Nothobranchius furzeri: one gene and its partner. The protein of the gene in region 1 purifies or fractionates together with the protein of each later gene. This does not show direct contact. Links are inferred from orthologs where the notes say so. Each region holds a gene or a part of one and is shown on either strand. Other genes may lie near its edges. The genes, in order: heatr3 and tmem186.

Region 1 (3,826 bases):
AGGCCATAATATAAGAGTTTGATCAAAAATAAGCCATTCATAATGGTTTGTTAACTGAAAGTAAACAGTTTGTTGTAGGGATGCACTGATACGATACTGGTATCGGTGCCGATACCAATACCAGTGTCGGTATCGGTAAAAGTTAACTGATATTTTACTTTTTTATCTACCTCACAGTCTTTTCCTGTTGAAAGCAGAGAAGAAAATAAAATCTGTATTCCAAATCATTGCATTGTTTGTGTGGCAGAAGTATCGGTATTGGTAATCGGTATCGGCGAGTTCTCAGATCCAAGTATCGGTATTGTATCGGTTTGGAAAAAAAGTGGTATTGTTGTATCCCTAGTTTGTTGCTGATAACTCACATGCTAATTAGCTCAAATCAATACGTGGCTGTTTAAGAAGTAATTCAAGGCAAATTATTATTCTGCATTAATAACCAAAAATATTATGTTCTGGTATGTAAATAAACACCAAACTCCACATGTTAATAGAGCCTAAACAACAAACAATTAACCACCTGTAAGCTAGAACATGTTCCCCCTTCTAAAGTCAGATGTTGTTCATACCTAATTACTAGTAGTTTAGTATTAATTAACCACCCAAAGGCAAGAATATGTTCCCCCTGAATTACTTCGTAAAAAGCCGCATATTGATTTGAGCTAATTAGCATGTGCGTTAATCAGCTACAAATCATTATGAATGGCTTATTATGATAAAACTCTTAATTTATGGCCTGTTAATGTTAAAATTACAGCATAAGCTCTTAATAAGTGCTTAATAATGACTAGTTCAGACTTAGTAGTCCACTAATATGCATATTAATTGGCAGCTAATTAATGGTTAATTTGTGTTCCCTAAACTAAGGTGTTACCAATGTTCTTATGCTGCACCTTCTGCACTGTAACTGCTCACGCTTAAACTTTGTCTTTTTTCTTTTTAATTTAAAAATCTAAATTGATTGGTGTGTAATATTTTAATTGTGCTGTCACTTTGATTTTAAAGTTCTTGCTAACTGGAAAGCACATTGAGTTGCCTCTGTGGATTAAATATGTGCTATAAATAAAGCTGCATTGTCTTTATTGTCTTTACTTGTTTAGTTTTTGTATTTAACATGAAATTATAAAGACTTTATGCAGGCTTGTGCACAGTACTGAGATTTGTACAGAATTTTTGGAAGTAGCCCAGAAGAGGGCGCCATTCTTCTGAAAGTCAGGCTATATCGTGATAAGTGTTTGGATTTAGAAGAAGAAGAAGAAAGTATCATTTCTATAGCGCCTCTCAAGATAAAAATCACGAGGCGCTTCACAAAAACAAAAAATGTAAAAGTATAAAAAAACATTTAGAAAATGTTAAAAAATATATTAAAATGAGCAAAAATAGGCAATTGTGATTAAAAAAATGTTAAGAAAGAGAGAGAGTGAATAGGAAAGAGGGAAATCAGTGGATCCTGAGGAAGGTGGAATAGGTGGGAGAGCAGAATAAAGAGAGAGAGGTGAAGAAGGTCATACAAAAGCCAGCTTGAACAAGTGAGTCTTCAGCTGCTTTTTAAAGGAGACCACTGAGTCCACTGATCTCAGGCTCAGGGGGAGAGAGGTCCAGAGTCTGGGGGCCACAGCAGCAAATGATTTGTCACCTTTGACCTTTAGCCTGGTGCTGCACAACCAGTAAGCTTTGATCACTGGACCTCAGGGACCTGCTGGGGGTGTAGGGACTAAGAAGATCACCAATGTAAGATGGTGCTTGTCCATGTAAGGCCCTATAGACCAGAACCAGGATCTTGAAATGAACCCTGAAGTTGACTGGCAGCCAGTGAAGCTGGAGGAGAAGCGGGGTGATGTGGGTGTGTTTGGAGGACTTGGTCAGAAGCCGAGCACAGGCGTTCTGAACCACCTGTAGACGGTTCAGGGAGGTTCTGCTCAGACACGTGAAAAGAGAGTTACAGTAGTCTAAGCGTGAGGAGATGAAGGTGTGGAGAACTGTCTCAAGTTCAGAGCGAGACAGAATGGGACTCAGCTTAGCAACGTTCCTGAGATGGAAGAAGGAAGAGCGAACAAGAGAACTGACATGAGAATCCAGGGTGAGAGCTGGGTCAAAGGTCACACGTAGATTCCTGACAGGGGGTTTGGTGTGAGAAGCAAGCTGACCAAGAGAGTCTCTGACTTTGGGAACCAGCTTGTCTGGGGCACAGATGATTAAATTAGAATTAAATTTAGATGATTAAAGCGACTCTTGCACCATATCGAGCTCTTTTACATCACTGATCATCTCCCAACCCTCTTCTCTCCCAGCACTCCTTCTAAACCTCCGTTTATACCACGGAAACGTTGCTCCTAGTGTTGGTTTCAGCTCCTCACAAACATGGCGAGTCTCCTCCATGCGACTGATGATGATGAGTGTGCGTCTGGGTCTGTTTCTCACTGGCAGGAATCTGAGTGCGTGTGGAGGTCAGGAGGTGTGCGAGGACATGGTGAAGCACGACGTGATGACTCCTCTGACAGCACTGCTTAGAGAGGTGAGACTCCGCCGCTGCTTTTAGCTCACTCCACCACTTCAGTTCCTCCTCATCAGCAGGCCGAAATATCTCCCGCAATTAGACGCCGCTCCAAGGCTTCACCCGCGGTGACTCGATGAAAAAGTGCTGCGTGCACGCTGGGGGAGAAATAGACTCGGTGTGAAATTCTAACTCGCCGCTGACCTTTTGTTAAGACCTGGCGGCATAAAAGATTTAAGTGTTTTTGTAGTGAAATCTGCCCTCTTTTCTTATAACGGACAACTGGAGATGCTTGTTTTTCTCAGTGTTGTGCTGGTTTCGACAACGCCGTTGTGACGATGACCGACCAGAACAATCCTGTGGAGAATGTGGCCCACGAAGCGGTGAACCTCCTCTGGAATCTGTGGTAAGGTCTGAAGGCCGCCAAGTCTTCACTTCCTTTAAGTAAAGATCAAACAGATCCCAAAGCAACCTAGAAAATCCGGGCAGTTCGTTTAGATTCCCGCTAGAATTAAAGCTAACACGATTGATCAAATGAAATTCTGGTGGGGTGGCATCATCAAATATAGTAGTAGATGTCTGTAAGTACTTATATTTGGACCTGTCTTGGTGCATAACCTTTATACAGAAATATCGTAGAGCGAGGGACACCAAACTGTGGCCTGCGGGCCATTTGTGGACCTCTGCTGCAGTGCAAGAATGCACAGGTGGTGTGCGTCAGCTTTGGCTTTAATATCTGGTAAACAGGGCCGTCGTTTGTTCCCTTTCTTTTTAGTGGGGCGACGGTGGCACTGGAGTTAGGTGCTCGCCCTGTAATCGGAAGGTTGCAGGTTCGAGCCCCGCTCAGTCTGTCGCTGTCGTTGTGTCCTTGGGCAAGAGACTTAACCCACATCGCCTGCTGGTGGTGGTCAGAGGGACCGGTGGCGCCTGTGCTCGGCAGCCTCGCCTCTGTCAGTGCGCCCCAGGGCAGCTGTGGCTACCTCGTAGCTCATCACCACCAGTGTGTGAATGTGTGTGTGAATGGGTGAATTCCTTGGGGGTTCCAGGAATCTAGAAGGCGCTATATCAAATACAGGCCATTTAACATTAGCGATGGATACCGAATTCGGTACTTTTTAAGGTACCGACCGAATTCCATAGTTCTGACTGAGCACTGATTCACGTCATTTGAAACGGCGCCTCGTTTCGGTACCCGTCCTTCATAACGAGAACTTGCCTAGACATCTGCGCATGCGCAAGAGCGTTATGTCGTCGGTCGCTGCGAGCGAGTTGTAAGCAGAGCAGCATGGTAGAAAGAACGCACGCTAAAGCTTGGGTCCACTTCACTAAATGTGA
Region 2 (3,371 bases), on another chromosome or scaffold:
TTTTAAATCTGCAGCATAATTTTGCTTTATTTTTTTGACTGAGTTGCAATGGAAAAGTGTTTCTGATGAGTTTGGAGAAAATTTCCTATACAGGAAACTCAAATGCATGGATTTTATCTTGTAATTATTTGAATGTTTATTGGAAGAACTGATTAGATGTTTTTGTCTAAAGATGTATGTTACAAATAGCTGAAAATGTTTTAATTGAAAATGCCTCACTGCAGTGTCTCTGATATTTGTAATTTGTCAACTTAAATTTTTTATAACTTGTGTACGAGACCATAATCAGTCTGCTTCACAATATTAGTTTTTTTATCTGTAACATATAGAATTCTATTAAGAAACCCAAAAAATTATAGATTTTCCAAATAAAATTTATCAATAGTCACATTTCCATGCAGGATGATCAGGTTGGAAGAAAACTCAACTGCAGGATTCCTCTAAAACTCCAGGGGGGTTTTATGACCACATTCAGACCTCTAATGGACCAATAAGATCAACAGTAAAGGGAATAGATCCACTCTGCAGAGCCATCAGATATTAAACACATCAAAACATTTACCTGTCCGACTCACCTGGCCAGGTAAAGAGGCTAGAGTCAGACACTCATTAGTCACATTTATTTAAATCAAGAAATGAAAACATTGAAATTGAATCATTTATTTCAAAACAGGATATTTTTGTATATTTGTTGGATCTTATTACAATACTTGAAAGCAGTGATTTAGTTGATCACATTTTGAATGAAGAATTATTTTAGCCTCCCAAACACTCTCTCAAAGCCCTGCTTGTCAACAACGCGTCCGTAATAAGTAGAAAAATACATTGTCTCTGGACTACTGTATCTCTTCAGTTTCAGTATGGTCTCATTCTCCATGTCTCCTGTGTCCCAGATGGTCAAAACGTCTGACACGGGTAGGTAGGTGTCTTGACGCTTGCCCCAAAAAGTGAGGTGAGAAACTTTGAGTGTGGTCTGGGATGGATCCAGGTACATCATCCCCACAACCCTTCTAAAGAAGTGACTCATAGTATACAGCATGACACCAGCAAACAGTGCAATCCCCGTAGAGTAGCATACTAGAAAGAAGGACACGTCACCCTGGAAGTAAAGGAAATACATGGGTGGAATGATGACCGCAGTGATTGCAGTTTGGAGCAGTTTGAGCCTGGACACGACTCTGAGAAGCTTAATGTGTGGCAGCGTGTAAATCATAGAGAATTTCTGCGTGGATAGGTCTGAGTATCTGACGGAGGTTGTGATTTTAGGAGTGAGGGGTCCATGGGAGGTCTGATGGATGGGTGTATGACCTGAAAAATGAGACTGTAAACCATTAGACACTCGTCCAGAGAGTAAACATGATCCTCTTGTGCAGGACAGGGTGTGGTGGGTTAATCTGCTCAGCAACATCGACCTGATCTGTGGGGGAAAAAAAACATTAAATACGACATTCAGTCAGGCAATATGCAGTCACCTAATTGAGCCAAATATTAACAGCAGAATAAAGTCTCGATCTGTTTTACATTAAAACTGTTAACCCTTATTCAGAATGAGGTCAAATTAATCTCCTAGCTGAATCAAATCAAGCTCAAGGGCATTTCGCGGGTAGGATTGTTTGATCTATTTGATCCACCAATTCCTTTGAATTTGATAACACTGTAATAACAGTAATATTAATAGTCTCACTATGATGCTCACCATGGCCAACGACTGGTTAATTCACAGGTAAAGTCAAAAATAGTCCCAAGTCCACTTTTGGCATGAAGACGTCCAGCTTTGTGACCCGGATGTTACAACCGTGTGTTCCTAAAGATCTCGTTTACTCTCCTCACATTAGAAACATTAGTAAAGTATACATTTTAATTTAAAAAATGTATGAAATTGTTCACACTGAATAAGAGCTGCAAACGGCATGTAGCGAACCTATTTAGAACCACATCCGGGGATGCGCCGAGATGTGTTTCGGTCCGTCGAAAAATGTTTTCCCCACTTAATGAAATATATTTCAAGCCTCCGAGATATGTTCTCCAGCAAAGTGGGATTTACAGTTGTTTTAGTGTAGAAGAATAAATGTCATTGAATGTGTGATTCGTGAAATAACGAGTTAGTTTTATTGGTTTACTTTGACAAAGGTCGCGCCTGTTTTACGTAACATCCGGTCACAGCCGTTACGACGTGCCACCTGAAATGTTGTCCTCCCGTTTGGTCGTTCAGCGGCTCAACCGTCCTAGCAGTTTCTAGCTTTCTCCGGCTTAGATGTGGTTTAATGCTCCACTTAATAGCTGCTGTCAGAATATAACACGGAGCATGGATGTGTGTGAAACATCGCGTTTTTAACCAAGAAAAATAGCTTAACAGGAAAGAAAATGTCAAACTGAAGAAAATCTGCGCTCGTGAACCCAAGAAGTCGTCTACAATGCTTCAGCTGGGAGATGAAGTCACCCTCTACTCACTTGTCCTCGTGGTGGTCCTGCTGGGGACGCGGAGTCCGGTGTGGTCGGCTGTCCTCACCGCTTCCCTCTACTTCTTTCTAGCCATGTTTCGGTTCCCGCAGGTGACGACCAGCCGAGCCCGGCAGGTGTTGCATCCAGACTCCCGTGCAGTGGGCAGCGGTAAGGTGTCTGTGATCGCTCACCGGGGCGGAGGACACGACGCACCGGAGAACACAATAGCAGCCATACGGGAGGTGAGAAGGGACACTGGGGAGGGAAGACGTTAAACCGTTAACCTTCACACGACCTAGAGCGGCTGTTTCTTCTAATGGCGAGATTTAGTTAGTCATTGATTAAAAATGTAATACCTCCACTTTAATACACATTTGTGTAACACCCGCAGATCAGCCCCCAAGATGTTACATGAAGTGAGTCTGACCAACCAGCATTAATGTGGGCAATGAAGCACAGAATCGGATCGCTTCAAAAATAGATAATTTATTAAAGATTGCAAAAGCTAAAAGTCCAAATAAAAGCTCGGTCTGTGCAGGTTGTGCCTACAAAACAGGGCAGGGAGACCAGTTCAAATCCAGGGGGAAGTTGAATTGTCTTCACCAAACCAACATGTATGAAGGTAGTGACGATGACTTGAGCTTCCCCCAATCGGCCCAGTGCTGCACCCACACAATTTACACACACTCACACACACACACACAGTGTGATACAGCTCTCCCAGGTTACATTTGCACTATCTAACCATTTAAGGAGATTGAAATCTAAACGTGCTTATTTTCAAATGAACTAAACCAAAGTGTGTACGACACACGTCAAAATGTTTATAATGTGATATTTTAATGCATCTACTTTTTTGGCTCACGGTGACTTGGTTCTCCAATGCTTTTACCTGCAGGCCAGTAAGAATGGTGCAACTGGTGTGGAGT

The links.
Region 2: the proteins of heatr3 (region 1) and tmem186 purify together in Homo sapiens (co-immunoprecipitation; 3 studies listed by BioGRID and IntAct, counting the BioPlex papers as one, with this or other methods). This does not show direct contact. The link is inferred for Nothobranchius furzeri from reciprocal best matches to the Homo sapiens genes HEATR3 and TMEM186.

Annotation. Positions count from the first base shown.
Region 1 is NC_091749.1:70,417,973-70,421,798, forward strand, and holds part of heatr3 (HEAT repeat-containing protein 3), read left to right. Parts: intron 1-2,424; coding exon 2,425-2,512; intron 2,513-2,796; coding exon 2,797-2,897; intron 2,898-3,826. UniProt on the Homo sapiens protein: Plays a role in ribosome biogenesis and in nuclear import of the 60S ribosomal protein L5/large ribosomal subunit protein uL18 (RPL5). Required for proper erythrocyte maturation.
Region 2 is NC_091744.1:5,453,117-5,456,487, forward strand, and holds tmem186 (transmembrane protein 186), read right to left. Parts: upstream 1,963-3,371; 5' UTR 1,700-1,962; coding exon 1,697-1,699; intron 1,418-1,696; coding exon 752-1,417; 3' UTR 606-751; downstream 1-605. Other genes in the region: gde1 (glycerophosphodiester phosphodiesterase 1), read left to right, coding at 2,415-2,684, 3,341-3,371. UniProt on the Homo sapiens protein: As part of the MCIA complex, required for efficient assembly of the mitochondrial complex I.